4 linked regions of the Drosophila melanogaster genome follow. The protein of the gene in region 3 interacts with the protein of the main gene of each other region in a pairwise test. Each region holds a gene or a part of one and is shown on either strand. Other genes may lie near its edges. The genes, in order: CG32579, Drsl4, CG11327 and Galk.

Evidence for each region.
Region 1: the proteins of CG11327 (region 3) and CG32579 interact in a two-hybrid assay, tested with the Drosophila melanogaster proteins (one large-scale study listed by BioGRID).
Region 2: the proteins of CG11327 (region 3) and Drsl4 interact in a two-hybrid assay, tested with the Drosophila melanogaster proteins (one large-scale study listed by BioGRID).
Region 4: the proteins of CG11327 (region 3) and Galk interact in a two-hybrid assay, tested with the Drosophila melanogaster proteins (one large-scale study listed by BioGRID).

Annotation. Positions count from the first base shown.
Region 1 is NC_004354.4:16,321,435-16,325,631, forward strand, and holds CG32579 (uncharacterized protein), read left to right. Parts: upstream 1-1,851; 5' UTR 1,852-2,033; coding exon 2,034-2,263; intron 2,264-2,339; coding exon 2,340-2,495; intron 2,496-2,644; coding exon 2,645-2,775; intron 2,776-3,014; coding exon 3,015-3,167; intron 3,168-3,221; coding exon 3,222-3,631; 3' UTR 3,632-3,686; downstream 3,687-4,197. Other genes in the region: CG9917 (uncharacterized protein), read right to left, coding at 614-1,519.
Region 2 is NT_037436.4:3,313,767-3,316,465, reverse strand, and holds Drsl4 (Drosomycin-like 4), read right to left. Parts: upstream 847-2,699; 5' UTR 830-846; coding exon 614-829; 3' UTR 524-613; downstream 1-523. Other genes in the region: Drsl3 (Drosomycin-like 3), read right to left, coding at 1,217-1,432; Drsl2 (Drosomycin-like 2), read right to left, coding at 1,879-2,091.
Region 3 is NT_033779.5:6,684,311-6,688,648, forward strand, and holds CG11327 (uncharacterized protein), read right to left. Parts: upstream 2,403-4,338; 5' UTR 2,253-2,402; intron 2,190-2,252; 5' UTR 2,185-2,189; coding exon 757-2,184; 3' UTR 532-756; downstream 1-531. Other genes in the region: Tsp (thrombospondin), read right to left, coding at 2,615-2,685, 2,754-2,887, 2,944-4,338.
Region 4 is NT_037436.4:8,981,668-8,988,020, reverse strand, and holds Galk (galactokinase), read left to right. Parts: upstream 1-1,929; 5' UTR 1,930-2,044; intron 2,045-2,204; exon of another isoform or gene 2,205-2,602; intron 2,603-2,712; exon of another isoform or gene 2,713-2,789; 5' UTR 2,790-2,795; coding exon 2,796-2,968; intron 2,969-3,034; coding exon 3,035-3,208; intron 3,209-3,353; coding exon 3,354-4,087; intron 4,088-4,284; coding exon 4,285-4,489; intron 4,490-4,547; coding exon 4,548-4,734; 3' UTR 4,735-4,917; coding exon of another isoform or gene 4,918-5,298; 3' UTR 5,299-5,809; downstream 5,810-6,353. Other genes in the region: CG5068 (uncharacterized protein), read right to left, coding at 1-289, 627-736, 796-994, 1,063-1,136; CG13314 (uncharacterized protein), read right to left, coding at 4,918-5,298.

The sequences.
Region 1 (4,197 bases), on a different chromosome or scaffold from region 3:
TTACATTTATCACTTTATTATTACAATAATGATACGTATATTCATTTACAAAACATATCCATTCATTGTTTTTACATATATAGCATTTCATTTCCCAAACCCATACCCGATCCACTATGAAATAGTGAGATTACCATTTGCCTCCCTCAGTGAATTTAAATGAAAGAGATTAATACAAACCCAACTCGAATCAGAACCGCAAGCCACGCCATTTCATTAAACGGAAATAAAGCATTAGATAAACGCATGACAAAGGCCAGAAGAATTTCTGATTCAGAAGTAAAACTAGAAGGAAGTATAAGCATTGTTTACAATACTACATACATACATACATCAATTGGCAATTAATTACATAAATTAGAAGCACCAAACAAAAACGATATGGCTGGCTAGCCTGGAGCAGCAGCACCTTGGCATGCTTATCCCCGAAAGCGGTTGAACTATGGACACCTGTTCCACGGCTACATGCATATTAATATAAGCGAAGCAAAAGCTTAAAAACAGTGATTATCGTGCTCTTTGATTAATCGCTTTGGAATGCCAAAGTCAAAGCGTTGAGAAGGCGTTTTACAGATTCGGATTCGAGATATATAGCGGACGCCCAGACTTAGAACTAAGAAGACTTTTGTAGAGCGAATCGCAGGATTAGCAAAAAGATGCCCACATGGGTCCACACTTGATGGAATACCCGACTCCCTCCGCTGGCGGCAGCCGCAACGAGCGGCGATTTCTGATTGTCACGGCACATCGTTTGGTTCCGAATGAAGTTGAACATGGACTCGACGAGATTCGCCGGTGTTATGTCCGAGCATTGCTCCAGTTTACGGACCACACACGCCTGCAGAGTCAGCATCTCGTCGCACTGTTTCTGACCGACCGTCAGCTTGGGCATGCTCCTGATGCGGTTGTCCTGCAGATCCGACACGTTCAGGTACTCGGAGAACGTGCTGTTCACGCACTGCTGAATGTTGTCCTTCTGGGACTCAATGCATTCGGGTCCCTTTTCGGCAATGAACAGGGCTATCTGATCGCCATCCTTGTGGCACACAAAGTTGAGCAGACTCTGGATGATCTGCTTAATGACATCCTGGCCCTCGCGCTCCTCCTGCACCAGACAGGGCACCAGTTTGGCCGTGAACGCATCCACACACTCGACGGCATTCGAACGCCGGCTGCAGTACTTGTTGAAGACCACATCCAGTTCGCCCTTGGGCGACGCTTCCTGTATCTCCTGCTGCATTGCCGTGTAGTTGACAATGCCATTGAGGCACTCGGTTAGCACCATGAATCCGGACTCGATCTCGCCGTATGCCTCGACGCCCGCCTCCTCGCCGGCCACCTCGATGCATTTGTTGCGAAATAGCTCCTTGGCGTCGTTCACGCTAAAGTTTGACTTCCTCAGCTGGTCGGGCAGCTGGGTCTGGATCTGATCCAGGTCTAGCTGGGCCATTATGCCGGCAGTGGCGAATATAACCAGCCAAATGGCGTATATCGCATGGCTTACATATGTCCTGTGCATGATGTTTGCTGTATTTTTTGCACTCCTCTTTGTCTTTTTGCTTGCCTCCTCTTCCGTTATTCTCCTTTGCTCTGGTTTTTAAGCTCTGAGATTTGCACTTTTGTTTGTGATTCTATGCGCTTCAAGCAAACATATTTGTTCGTTTTGCGAAATATGCCTATGCCTTTGGGCAATTGGAAAAAATTAATTTAATTAGGAAATCACTGGATGGAAATCCCAATTGGAGATTCTATCCCACCCGTCGGCTAGAGATGGCACTTCGTCGATGACGCTTTCGATGCAACAGCTCACTATCGGCTTTCCGCCGATAAAAGCGTACGATCGATCTATCTCTAGTTCAAATGAACAAGTTCTCGTAGAATTCAGTCTTTATTCTAATCTTCAGTGTTTTGTTTTTTTTTTTAGTCGAAAACCAGTGTCAGCAAGTTGAAGGCGAGAGTAGTTTGGAGGTCGAGGCCTTGGATATTTGTGTGTGGCTAGGGTGGCACATGTGCAATAAGGAGGCGGAGGAGACATGGCCTCCGCGGAGCAAAGAACCGAAGTGGACGCCCTTATGATGGGGCCGATCTCGAAACTAAGCATGCTGCTCACTGTGGTGTCCATTCTGTGGCGCTTCGTCTCGATTTGCATCAACTGGAGCCTGGCGTACGTGTACTGGATGGAGGAGTCCTACGGATACTGCGCCTGGACCATTGGCTCCATTCTGGTGCCCATGGTGGTCACATCGGTCATATATATACATACGTATGTGACATATCGCGATAGCGTGTACTTCCCCCGAAATCTACAGCTAAACGATAAATTTGTATTTGAATTTCAGCTTGAAGAGCGCTCATGCCGGCGAAAAACGCATCCTGGAGCGAGGGGTGTACTCAAATGCTGTGATCTCATATCTCTTCCGCGATGTCTATGTCCTAAACTATGCGTTCAAATACTCGTTGGCCAAGGAGCGGGATGACAAGCAGGCGGAGATCGAGTGAGTAATGCTAGTGTCAGTGTATAAAACTAGTTAATAGTAGCTTAATGCCCTAAATGGTAGTACTGCCGTTTAGTTTATCTTCTCTTTTCATCATAAGTGAGCACTTTAGAATGTTTATAACGAATATCTGAATTCTTATCTTACAGATATTACCAAAAACTCATGACGGAGGAGTGCAATGTTAGTTTCGTTCGTCTATTCGACTCGTTTTTGGAATCAGCACCGCAGAAAATACTACAGCTGGCAATTCTTTTGCAATCGACATTGGAGTTCACATGTAATACGATATTAATACTACATTAGTGCCATATTTCAATCTCTCTCTCTCTCTGCCTTAATTAAGATAACTAATGCATAAGTAATTTAAGCTTATAAACACCAAATTCTGACGTTCACTTTCGCAAATCAAAGTCAGTTTAGGCGTTTAGCCTAACTCATTGATTGTAGCCAACGAAAGTGAAACTCGGAATGGAAAGTCGATGGATGCCATTTACCCATTCAAATTTCTTTTCCCAGACTACCGCCACATCGCCCTGATCGTCTACTTCGGCAACATAGCGTGGTGCATCCAGGCGTACAATCACTCCAATCGCCTGGCCCAACTGGACAAACATGATATTGCGGCGAAGGGACGATTTCTGCAATTTCTCTTCCTGCTCTGCCTCACTGGTTAGTAGTAGTTAGTTAGCTGTGTTGCTTAGAATGTGTATATTAAGCTTTTAGTTATTCGCTTTTATTTCGTAGTTTCGAGAACGCTTTGCATCGCGTATGTGGCCAGTATTTTTCCCATCGAAACGCTGATCATCTGCGCGACACTGGCTTGCTTTTACGGCACCATTGTGTTCTTTGTGGACTCGCCAATGATCGCAAAATCCCGCCCCATGAACTATTCGTACTGCCTGTGCTTTGGCGTTGTCTATCTATTTATTTTTACGCCCGTCAAGGATGCACCAACCAAATATAAGTACGCCTTCTATCTCACATTCTGTTTGTTGCAAAATATCATCGCCTGCGCTTTGTACATTCCCTTGTATCTTGCCACAGCCATCATTGCCTTGTATATTGTCGGAATTGTTCTGTTAATAATCTACTACACGTACTGCCATCCAAATACTGTGCGTACTTATTTTTAAAATTCTAGCATAATTAGTAGCATTTTGTATATTTGCAATAAACGTTGTTATGCCCACTTGTGATGCGCCTTTGATTTTCAATTGGCTTAAGCTGGTTTCAGATCTAATCTAATATCTAATATGCATTGTGTTTTTATTAGAGGATATATACATACATACATACACACATATGTATATGCAAATTTGATTTCATTTCTAGATTTTCTATCGATATTTGACCATCGATTAACTGATAGTTAGGTTTTAAATTTAGTTAGAACTTTTCTTTGTAGCGGAACATCAACTAAAGGATATATATAGATATATATAATATAAATGTGAACTATATGAATTGAATGTGACACAATATAGTCGCACATACATATATATGTACATACATCTATGTTTGTATTTAAGTGTCATTAAAAAGATGTCATATTTATGTGTTAATCCCGTGTACTTAATTTGAAGCGCTTACTAAATATTTTTCAAATGCAATGCCTTTCTGTTCAACTAGTTCCCAAATATTGATCAGCAAATGCATCATAATTGAATCGATCATTCCAGATGCGCATGCGCAACGCGCC
Region 2 (2,699 bases), on a different chromosome or scaffold from region 3:
GCTTATTAATAATCTGCCGACATTGATTTTATGCAATGTGCCATTTATCACGAGACTTCTAGGAAACTAATTAAACCAGTTTCATTAATTAAATTTATTCATAAATTGTAAAACTGTCGAGTTTGTTAGGAAAACCCAGAACCGGATTCAAACACCAAACTTGCACTTTTCGATGTAACACGGTTGATAATTTGTTGGAAATATTAACATGACAAGATTATCTTTATTTCCCATAAAGTGATATGGGTGCTGGTAAATGAAGATTTGTGTTCATAAATGAAAATGGCCTTTCCAACTCTTGTTAAGACTGAAATAGTCTATGCTTTTTTTTTCTTAAATGCTTATTATGAGTTGAATTATATATTCCACTTCTTTCTAAATGAATTTTAGCTTTCTATTGAAGTTAACTCTGATTATTTATCATTTAATTATTTCTTCCATTCCATTATAAATCTCATTTTCGAAGTAAATTTATGATTTTAAAAGGATTCGTTCTTTAAGTAGAAATAAAACTGTATTATTTGCTGTGAAGTATATTCTTTATTTTTCTTTTCAAAACAATAAAAAACATATGACACACATATGTGTCAAACATATTGGACGATGAGGATCCTCAGCATTGTTCGCACCAGCACTTCAGACTGGCACTGCAGTGTCCACTGACACGTCCTTCCTCCCTGCAGAGGCGACGGCACTGCTCTCCATCCCAGGCCCAGCAAGGACCACTGAATCTTCCAGATGGGCAATCCACGGCCGAAGCCGAGTTGGCCACCATTAGGACAATGGTCACCACAGCGAGGAGAGCAAACAATCCTTTAATTTGAGCCATTATTAGAATGTTCTTCTGGTTAAAATCTTTACTTTTGAGTTTCTTGAGTCCGACTGCACTCTTATATAGGTACAGAATTTGTATATTAACCGATTAGCATAAAGGTGAAAATGCAAATAACTGCAATATAACTTTCGAAAGGCATACTTTTGGGCCTTTTACGCGACAAAACGCGCATCGCTATTTTGGGATGATAGAATTGCTATACCTTCTTGATGTTGATGCACCTTTTTGTTTAATATACTTACCACATACATATTAAATCAAATCAAGAGATAACTCCTGAAAGGCAATGCTTACGTGCCTTTTACTGTGCGGTGTACAGTATATTTATTATTGGCTCAGAATAAACAAAAAAACAGCATGCACTTTTGAACTGCAGTGGATCTAGCATCCTTCGCACCAGCACTTCATTGCGCCACTGCAGTGTCCACTGACATGTCCCTCCTCAATGCAGAGACGGCGGCACTTTTCTCCACTCCAGGCCCAGCAAGGACCTCCGAAAGTTCCAGATAGGCAATCACGTGCCAAAACAGTGTTGGCCTCCATTAGGACAATGGTCATTACAGCAAGGATAGCAAACAGGAATATCATCTGCACCATGACAACTGATGTTTTCAACGAGTCGGGAATTTTACTTGAGTTCTTAAAGACTTTTGGCATCGACCACTCGTGGGGACGCTTATATAGAGATACAGATTTTAAGATTTTTTATTTGATCGTAGCAATCGATAAGCTTCTCGGAAATTCAAGCTAACAATAACCGATATAATCCTAGTTTTCCAGAAACACTTGATTTATGTGTGCCATGTGTCAACTTCATTGATTTAAAAATGCATCGTTATCATAATAAGTTATTTACCTAGAATTGCTATCTTTTCGATTTAATGATGTATGTAAACATTCACTTCTCCTAACACATTGCCATACAGGAAATTAAAAGACAACAGTGCGTATGAGTGATAAGCGTAAGAGGCCTTTATATTTATATATTATTTGTTTAGAATGAAATATTCAATATACACATTTCAAATGGATATAGTATGGATTCAGCATCCTTCGCACCAGCACTTCAGGCTGGGACTGCAGTGGCCACTGATATGTCCCTCCTCCTTGCAAATACGTCGGCACATCTCGTTGTCCCAGACGGCGCAGGGACCCTTGTATTTGCCGGAAAGGCAATCGGCATCAGCCATATTGGCGGCCAGGACAACAATTGTCATCACAGCCAGGAAGACGAAAAGGAATTTGATCTGCACCATTGCAACTGATGTTCCGAACGAGTCTGGTACTTTACTTGAGTTCTCGAAGACGTTTGGTATCGACAGCTTGTGGGGACGCTTATATAGGACTACACCACCTCCATGCATTTCCAATAATCTTTTTTAGCACGTTTCAAAATCTTTTGTGATGCATTTGCTCAGTGGCTAGGTGCCTCAACTTTGATGTCACACATGTGCTCCTATCTGAATTCGATAAGCTTCCAAGAAACTCGAGGCAGAGCTCGCAATCTTGCCCATTGCTGCAATCGATAAAATGAATCAGGGAATCAGGAAGTACCAGTGACCCCTGATTGTATCGAAAATTTCGACTCCAAAGAGGCATTTTATCAAATTGTATACAGTTAGTTCGCTTGGTCTAATTATGTTTGGCGTTTATTTACAAACATATACATCTGAAAATTAATGCAGATCATAAAATAATACATGATGTTTGCATTAAATGTATAGTCATTATAAAGTTCGATACGATTAAAATTAAATAGAAACTAGGTTCTCGGTTGTGGTAAAAACATTTACATATAGCATTACAACTACTAAGATTTAGGGACTATGTCTAACCATACACAAACACAAATGCGTGTATACCT
Region 3 (4,338 bases):
CTAAAAAAACAGTTTGTTCGTTCATATGGAAACAACCGTATGCGACTGCAGTGTGACCGCACGCTAGCACGCGAAAAAATATTGCCTTTGAACAGGAGCGGTTCAGTAAAGATATTTGTATTCAATATAATAGTTATGTAAAACTAAAACTTGCAATAATCCCAAACTATTTTCCAAGTAAAAACTATTATTCCGGGAATTGCGTCAAATTAGCCTTTTCATTTATTAATTTTCTTTCCCGTCGTCTAGTACTAGTCCCGCCGACCAGTCTCTCCGTGTCCCACCGACATAGTTAGATCTGTAAGTTCGTATCATTGCTATTTTTCACGATTCCTCTATACATTCAAAAAAAAAAAAATAAATAAAAAATTCCCCATGTTTAGAATTCCGCCGTTCCTCCATCGGTAATTATTCCGGGAAAACAGTAAACGGGCAGGTGCAGTTTCCGGTTATCGATAACCGTTACCCTGCCCTAGCCAACAAGAGTATGACCTGACAAAGGCGCCACCTAGCGCTCGTTTCAAAAAGAATGTTAAGTAATTGGCGCTTTAATTCAAATATACATACAAATTATACAAATTACAAACAGTGCGGCCGTGATATTGTGGATATTTATTTGGAAAATAGATATTTAAAGCAACCCAACTATGCCAATGCGTCGGGCGATTTTGAAGTGTTTCCTAAGATATACCGTAGTGAAACGTATGCTCTCGCAAGTTCGCATTATCCAATTTGCATTTCTAGAATAGTGAACTTCTACTCCTTGCGAATTATATAGACCAAACTGAAAGCCAAGCTGCAGAACAATATGGGATAGCTAAGCTTAAGGATTCTGTGGTTGACTAGACGCCTCAAGAAACTCAAGGGCTTGCCAGTTTGTTTTAGGTCCGGATCCGTTTCCTCCTCCATATCGATTTCCGCCTCCGGGCCCGTCAGCGTCTCCCTTTCTTCCGCTTGCTCACTTTCTATCAAGTCTGGAGCTGTTTCAACTTCGCTATTCTCTTCTATTCTGGCCTGCAAAAGTTGGCGCATTAGGTGCACATTGTACTCCGGATCAAATAGTTCATCCAAAGTAACCATCTCGCGACCGTTTTGCACCGACCCATCTAGTGAGGGATGGTCGGCCAGTTCCGGGACCGAGTCAATGCACACAATCTCATCCGCCGTTGGATGAAACATGGGCTCCAATGTTTCAGGGTATTTCTCGAATTGTTCACGAACAAGCCTGTCCTCTTCGGACTCGCTACTTTCATTAATTAACGTTTCGAGTTCCTCCATATCCGATTCGGGTACAGATTTCTCGGATTCTACGTCTGTAGGATCTTGCGGGGTCTCTTGGACGATCTCTGTGTGTTCATCTATTGGCTCTTCGCCCAAATGCTGGACAATTTCGAATTCCTTTAAAGATTCTATTTCCACGGCAGTTTCCTTTATTTCTGGAAATTCCCCTTTCGGTGCAATTTCTTTTTCCACCATCTGTACATTTCCTGGTATAAGTTCTTCGGGTTGTGTTTCAGGAAGTGTTTCCTGCTGAATATCGTTTCCTGTCAGCTGTTCCATATCTAGTCCGGAAGACTCGGCACCATTCTCCACATCAGAGGCTTCATTTTGCAACTGTGTATCCACATCAGTGGCGTCATATTGCACCTGTGTATCCTGGTCAATATCATCGGGCAGTAGATTTTGCATATCTAAATTATTAAAAGCCACATCAGCCTCCATTTCGGCGACGACGCGTTGAAGTTCCTTGAGAGTCTGCTCCTCTGCCAGTCGGAGCTCCAACTCGCTGCTAGTGTCCGGAATCCTGTCGAGCATCGGCTGCAGCATTGGACTCGGTCTGGCCGACAGCGTAGTCTGCTGCTCGTCCGTGGAGCAATCCAAATTGATGCCAGAATCGTCGGCCATCTGTTGACTTTCCATGGAGGAGCGTCGCTTTCTCTCGGGCATCAGTGAACTGTAGATCCGGCTGCTGGCACTGGGTCCCAAGAAAAGTGGAGCCGGAATTTTAGTGGGCCTAACTCCCGAACTGCGAGGCCGCAGCTCACTCTCCGACGAAGATGGGACAACCGCGTCCACATCGTTTTCCATTGATTGACATTCTTCGGAGTTTTTCACATTCTTGTTGTTCTCAGTCCGCTTCAGCTCTTCCTGGGATGGAGTTGCTTGCACATTGCGGCTGGCCATCGTGGCTATTTGGACGCATAAATGAATGAGGTCAGCACAATTTGGTAGAGCACTGTGCTCCAACTTACCCTTTATAAATTTACGCAAGACTGACTGAATTTAACCTGGTTAACTAGTTCGACATCCGTGAAATATTATATCAATGTTTTCAACATGGGTTTTCCCTTATTTCGGTGATCAAAACGTTCCCTAGCGAAAGTGTGTTCGCCTAACTGTGGCAATTGAACTAAATGGATTGACAGGCAATGTCTCCTGATTTCACGTGCAGCCAGGCCAACTTGATTCAGTTCATTTTTGTGTTGGAAAACGCGGCTCCAATGGCCAACTGGATTGGCAACTCATTTATTAACTTAGTGGTAGCATTAATACATAATTTGGTTAGAATTGATGGCAGAAAAGACGTTAATGGCTCTGAGGATTGCGATTCCCCTCAGTCCTGCAACTCCACCTTCGTCTTGAGATAGTCGGACAGATCATTGTAGATCAGCGGCTTCACACGATCTGTTTTGAAAAGCATAGAAAAAAGTTTAGTTCAGTTGAAGTTACCACTTTGTTTCGATTTCCCTTACTATTGCACTTGTACTGCAGGTTGGACCATATAATCATCCTCTGTGAGAAGCAGAACACGCCCAGCCGACCGCCCTTCAGCGTGGAGTCAAACACATTGCCCGAGTCGAAGATCAGGCGGTTACCCTCGTGCATTCTGTGGGTAGAAGGAGAATGAAGACATGGGAACCCTGTCATGGTGCCATCACTCACTGCAGGCGGATGAGGCCGATGGCCGGTCGATGCACCAGGGACCAGCGGTAGGAGGTCCTTTCCTTCCACGCAATGTTCTTCGGATCCTTCCACAGCAGCCTGGCCTCACCGTCGGTGTTTCCCTCGTGCCACAGGCTGTTCCTCATCATTGGGCCCGGACCCTCGGTGCTGTTGACCAGCTTGATCTGGATGCCCGGCGCCGCAGAGGCGGTGAAGGGTCGTGGCTCCCAGTAGGTTTGGGTGCCCTTCTTCCACTGCACCACGTAGTACTTGTAGCTGCTCTGGTAGCTGAACACAAAGCCAGCGTAGTCATCGTCCGTGTCATCGTTGATATAAAAGGTGCCGTCGAAGTCAACGCCTCCGAAGGCGTCCTTGCCCACCGCTAGTCCCGGATCCGAATTGAGGGTCTGGACTATCTCGGTGCCATTGGCGTGTACCACCCAGTTGGGATCCGCTTGCGATAGGCCTTTGGGATCCAGTGGAATGGTTTGAAGAGTGCGAAAGTCAGTGTGATGAATCATCGAGTTGTTCGGGCAGTTGTCCATGCCATTCGGTACACCATCTACGTCCTCATCATCTTCGCAAGAGTCACCCTTGCCATTCCGATTGAAGTCGTCCTGCTTTGGGTTCTTGGCCAGCGGACAGTTGTCCTTGTAGTTGGGTATCCCATCTCCGTCCATGTCGTCATCGCACTCATCGCCCGTTCCATCACCGTCAGTGTCCAGCTGGTCCGAGTTACTGACCATTGGGCAGTTGTCCAGCGAGTTTGGAACTCCATCATCATCCCCGTCGATGTCTCTGTGACAGGCATCGCCTACAAAGTCCATGTCGCGATCCTTTTGGTCGGGATTCGGAAGATTCGGACAGTTATCGCAAGCGTCGCCCACACCATCGTTGTCCACGTCCGACTGACTGGGATTCGGCAGCAGCGGACAGTTGTCTAGCGCATTTGGTATGGAGTCGTTGTCGATATCACCATCGCACTCGTCTCCCAGTCCATCCTCGTCCGTGTCCAACTGCCTGGGATTGTACTTAAGCACGCAGTTGTCGCACACATCGCCCACCTTGTCTCCATCCGAGTCCAGCTGCTCGGTGTTGTAGGCCAGCCAGCAGTTGTCTTGGCTGTTCTGGACATTGTCGCCATCGGCATCGTCGTCGCACCCATCGCCATGTCCATCCAGATCGGCGTCCTCCTGGCCTGAATTAGGCAACTTCGGGCAGTTGTCTCGCTGACAGCGCAGCTCTGGACAACCGATTGCCTGATCTGGCCATCCATCTACGTCGGTATCCCTACCGCAAATCAAACCGTTGCCCGCCCATCCCACATTGCAGTGACACTTGTGGCGGATGTTATCCATCCTAAGGCACACGGCATTGCGGTCACAAACGGTTCCA
Region 4 (6,353 bases), on a different chromosome or scaffold from region 3:
CACTTTGGCGCTGTCCACATTGCGCACTTGGCCGCTTCGGATGCACCACTCGATAGCATTCGGAATACTCTGGAAATACTTTGGACGGGAGCGCAGAAAGCTCTGCATGCTGGCTAGTGCCTCCATGGCTGTGCCCTCCACAACATCGATGACGGTTATTCCAATCAAATTGGGCACCAGAGCCATGTGGGCAAAGTGGACGGCGATGGCGCCGCCCATCGAGTGGCCAACCACAAAAAGCTGCGGCACTTCTTCAGGATAGAGCTTCAGGATTAAGTCACCGATGTCCCTGTTTAGAATATTTTAAACATTATTATAGATTATAGATTAGATTATTATGGTTTTTAGCTTCAACCGTGAATAAAGTAACTATAAAAAACTAAATAATATTTACAAATGAGTGATCGTTCAAATAGATCGACCTACTTTAAGTGCAGTGCGCTATTTTTATAAATAAAGAGATTATGCAAGTTTAGCCTAATCGTTCATAAAGCTAAGAGTTAATGCGAGAAGTTTTACTCGACAAAATCTTAAAAATATTGGTTTTTAATGTAAGCAGTAGAAAAATTTGCATAACCATCTCTAAAACATATTTTGAGAACAATATTTTTTTGGATTCAACTCACTTAGCCAACGTATCAGCGGAGAGATCGTCCTCGTCGTCCACCTTGCTGTCCCCATGACCTCGCATATCGATGCACAGGCACTGGCAGTGGATCATGCTGGTCACCTCAGACTTAAATGGATATATGTACATGTTAAGACTATTTAACAGAATATATCGCATTCACTCACACAAAAGTGCGCCCAGGTGAGGGCAGAGTAGCCACCGCCGTGGAGCAGAAGGAGAACTGGACCCGGCTTCTCCGGTTGCTTGGTGCGATAGATGCGGAAGGTGCGTTGCTCATCCACCGTGACGTCCTCCTTCTCCGCAAAGAATTCGTTCCACATGCCCGGCTTGTAGTCGCGAATGCGCGACTTCTTGAACGAGTCCCTGTAATTAGCCAAATTGGGTAGAGATTGCGTACTCCCCACTCCAGTCGCAGAATACCCTGCACTTACGCTCTGCCAATGCGCCCGCCAGGAATTGTGGGTGGCAGCTTGCCCTTCAACATCGTGCGCTGTAAACTCGACATTGATCCGATTGTCTTCGCTGTGGGGTCAACAGGTGGTGCTCCTACGGTGCAGGTGCAAGTGGTTATTCACACAGTCGTTGCTCGCAATTATCCGTTTTCGAAAACAAAAAAATAGTTCCAATTCAACGAAGAAGTATTGCAGTGTGACCGTAATCGAGAAAACCGTAACTGACGCCAGCTGGCAGCGCTGGTTCAAGAGCTGCACTTGGCAATGCCCTTGTCTGGCAACGCCTAACCGCAACAGTCAACATTTCAAATTCCAAAACGGATATTTTAGGCTTTTGCAATCAAAGACGAAAATCCGTACCATACTGAAACAACAACAGTTGTATATTTTAATGTTTGTACATTTTAATCAATTAAGTATTTTAAAAGTTTATCTACGAAAAAATTGATGAGCTCCCCGAAACACTTGTACCTTATCAGCTTTGTAAATACTTCACATTAATGGCAAAATAATAAGCAAGGTAATAACCTTTCGCAAAGTGGATGTCAAAACCACTTTTTAAAGCAGACAAAATTTGGAAACCAGTTTTTTAGAATGCTAACAAGAAAGAATTCATATGCTATGAAGATGTTTGACCCATTTAACGGTAAAGACAGCTAGTTATAAACTAACAAAGCTCTCAACAAGTTCCTACTGATACACACAGTGCAACATCGCTAGCTGGGAAACTGGTGTTCTATAAGGTCTCCGAGCATTTATATTTCAGTAATGCTACTGATAAGGAAGTATCACTTTATTGTTCATAGTATTCCGGACTAAGCAAAAACGGAAACGGAACGGGCCGGATTGCTCAGTTGCTTGATGGAACGCGACGTGCTCACACCGAAAACTAGAACTCCTCTCTGATAAGACGGCACCAAGTTAATTTGACCTCAAACAGAGAAAGATAAGGCATTGTTGGGTATGTATCGGCAAAAGTGTAAAAATCTTGACAAAATCCTTTATATCTGTGTTTATTCTGGTATGTAAACAAAAGGTAAGCTCAATACAGGTTAAGTTTATGGTTTCGAGATAAGATAAATGTCATGTTTGTCATTAATGGTCTATTTAGATTATGCGGCAGTAAGTTTAAGCGGTAGTACTTTTGAAAAACAATTACCAGCTAAGAACTTTATTGCCAAATAATTTACTATTAGTTGGGACTAGACATAAACATCAATTTCGCGGATAAATATTCAAAATAAAATCTTTATCCATTGCGCATTTCAAGGGTTAATGCTTCTGCAAGCCTGGCAACTCCTAAATAACAGCTGTTGGCTATAGTCCTCTCGCTCCCGCACACCCTTCCTTTTCATTTACCGGCAGAAATTGCACTTTTGTACTTGTTTTTTGCCCAATTAAGCGGTCAAATTGGCGTCAATCTAATGTTTTAGTGACTTTGATGCCGTTTCCCCAACTGATAACCGCAATGTTAGTACATCACTTTGTGTGCTAATAGCTATTTGGACATATTGATAAGGTGAGATGGGTTGATAAGCTAATTTTTGCACAACCACAGGTGCAATTGTTTTTCCCTTTGCCACGGCTATTTGTTTACGTATGTAAATTTGTTTTTGCCCATAAATTTAGATTAACCAGTTGCGACACGTTTACGGTTCGTCGACTGCGAAAATAATGGGCATTATTAAAGTTTCACCCGCCTGCAGGTGAACATGACTGCCAACGGGAACGGAACTGCTCAGGATTTGGGTGCCGGCATTGAAATCGTGGCCCCACAGAAGCTCCAGCCGGAATCCAAGGTTTACGGGCGCGTGCAGCAATTGACCGCATTTTTCAAACAACAATTCGGAGCGAATCCGGACTTTATCGTTCGAGTGCCAGGAAGGTGAGCAGTTCCACTCGTGGTGCACATCTATAGTCCCTTATCGATGATATCTCCTCCTTCTCCTAGGGTCAACATCATTGGCGAGCATGTGGACTACTGCGGCTATTCGGTGCTGCCCATGGCTGTAAGCCAGAGCATTTTCCTTGCAGTGGCCAAGAATCCTAGTGATAGCCAGCTTCAACTCAGAAATCTCGAGGAAGCGAAGTTTACGGGCTACGATGCCGATCTCAAAACGCTCAGGTGGGTGAATCAGAAACATGATAATTACCGACCTTAAGCACTAGAAAATTTTCCATTTAATTTGTTATAATAACAATGTCACCTTGAAGGCGGTATCTAAACGAATTTAGAAATGATAAGTCCAAATATTTTTTTGCTATTTTAGAATCGAGCTTCCAAAGAGTGGTGGACCCGCTTGGTATAACTACTTCTTGTGCGGCATCAAAGGAATACAGGAGAGTCTGGGCAGCCAGTGGAAGCCCATTGGCATGCGCATTGCTGTGGACGGTAATGTGCCCTTGGCGGCAGGACTCTCCAGTTCGAGTGCCATGGTCAGCTCCGCTGTGTTGGCCACCGCACACGTCCAGGGCAAGAAACTAGATCGCAGGGAGCTGGCTTCCATTTCGGCCATGTGTGAGCAGTACATTGGAACGCACAGTGGTGGTATGGATCAGGCAATAGCCTATTTGGGCAGAGTTGGCTGCGCCCACCACATCGAGTTCCATCCCAAGCTCAAGGGCACTCCGGTGACCTTGCCAGCGGGCAAGTGCTTCGTTGTGGCCAACAGTCTGGCTCAAAAGAACAAGGCTGCTTCGTCGGACTACAATGAACGAGTGGTGGAATGCCGATTGGCCACTAGATGGCTGGCCAAGCGCAAGGGCTTGATCAACTGGGAGGATATTGTGCGCTTCATTGATCTAGAGGAGGCGTGCCAAATGGATAATGAGACTTTCGAGAAGTTGATTAAGGACAACTTAACGAAGAGCAACTACACGCGAGCGGATATCTGCAAGGAGTTGGGAGTCACCGAACAGGAACTGGAGACCAAGTTCCTATCCGCCAACACTCGGCACATGGAGCAGTTCAAGCTGCGTCAACGTGCTCTGCATGTTATTCAGGGTAAGTTAATCATTTACAATCAGGATTTCACATTTAATCTGAATCATTACGTGTACATTAAATTTATTGATCACCAAATGAATAATTACAGTCAATTAATAATACGTTGACATTCATTTGTTGTCCGAAAGATTTAAACTCTTAGCAAATAATATTAAATTGCAAGATCAGTTAATAACATTGTTTCCGCCTAACAGAATCCGGTCGCGTGGCCAAATTCCGGAAAATTTGTGAGGAACTCGCCGGCGGAGCCAATAAGGAAGGTGCAAAACAGCTGGGTGAGCTCATGCGGCAATCCCACGAGAGTTTAAGGGAGCTATACGAATGCTCTCATCCTGATGTAGAGCGCCTGATTGCCATATCGAACCAGCAGAACGTTAGCGCCCGAGTCACTGGAGCTGGGTAAGAAAACCGATATCCTAGTGACTCTATGAATTTAATCAACATTATTCTTTTTCAGTTGGGGCGGTTGTATAGTTGCCATGTGCGATTCCATAGAAGCAGCTGATGAGTACATAAAGGTTTTGAAGCGCGATTACTATGCTCAATTGCCAACACATCTCCTGGAGCGTCATCAGCCCAACAACTTTAGCGAAGTGGTCTTTGCCACTCTACCAGGAAACGGAGCCGAGTTGTATATACAGTGAACGCTTGTGTAGCATTTTAATCCAACTTTTATACCAAAATCATCCTATCAGTCACTATAATCAAACGGTCATTTATAGAAAAAACATTTAATATGTAGAGTACTATGTACAATATATTAACAATTTACAAGCTAAAATACAACAAGGCACGTGGGGAACGGAACTCATCTGGCATCGTGAGTTCTATCTGCTACTCAGATAGCCGGCGTTCTTGAAGAGCTTGTACACCTGTTCGCGCGGTATTTTCTCCGCCTCACGATGTACCACTGCCATTTCCTTCTTCGTGAGCAGTGATTCCTTGGCCAGATTGGCAGCGATCACGGGATCATTGTAGAACCGCGCACTCTTCGACAGCTCAGCCGGCAACTCAGACTCCCACTGGGCATTTCGCACCACCGAGGGATGGGCATCGGCTGTTGCATATCCCTGGTACGGATTGGCCGGTTCGTAAGCGTGCGCAACCGGCAGACCCAGCGCCTGGTGGTAGAAGAACTGGGCCCGAACCGAACTCATGGCCAGAAGCAGGCATCCAGCGAGCAGCGTTACTTGGCAGGCGGTCGGCATGATTGGCTGCTGGAGGGGAGAAAAGGAGCAGGAGCTGGCATTATTGTCCAACGTTCTAATAAAGCGATACGGACAGATTTATTGCCGCTGGTCAGTGGCAGTTTTTAATCTACAAGTCGGCTGTCAGTTTCGTGCGTCATAAATTATGTACGGGAAAATCAATTATCGCATATGGCCAATGGAGTGGGCAACGCGGAGATCTTGGCTCAAACTGTTACAGTTGCTAATCCATGAACTTTTTTGCAACTTGGAACTGGCTTTTTTTTATTGATAAGAATTGGACTGGCCGCGAACTAAATGGCGAGCTTTATTTGTCAAGCGTAGAGTGCTCCAATTTGGTCGCAACAAAGCAATCGTAGCTTGAGATATAAGTACAGTGGTCTCTCTAGAACTCTTTTGAGATTTTAATTGCAATTGGGTAATTTGCTATAAGGATTGGTGAAAATATTATTTTTTATTTTACGTTATAATGACATTATCGAAGATGCATTTACCAAATGTATTAATTAAGAATACGTTAGCAATGAAATTGATTTAAATCATGATCATCCTTTTTAGGCTTTGATATATTCACTTCGAACTGAAACCCTGATATAATCCTTGAAAATGTGACATTCGTTATTAGATTATACACTCTTTAAACCTTTCTACTTTTTAATGATCACAGCCACTGTACATGCATTTTTATTATGCGCCATTAAATGCATTTACATATTCCAAGTCCAAATTGATACGTTGATTCAGCCAAAGTCAAGGTTACGATCCCACACAACCGAATCGGATTTCGGTTCTCCAAAAAGCACCCACTCGCACAAACACACGACACTCACTCACTTTGATCTGGACTTATTTCAACGGCTAATCCTCGAGAGAAGCACTTCAAATGAAACTGGAACACCTGGGTGAAGTTGAGACTGTAAACTGATCATAGAATATCGAGACGGCGAACTTTTATTCGCTTGCCGTTGAATGCCACAAAAACGAGTTGAACTCAAGTCTGTGAGTCAACCGATTTTCGAATCTCGCTCAAAGCGCCGCTTCTGAGCGCCGAGAAT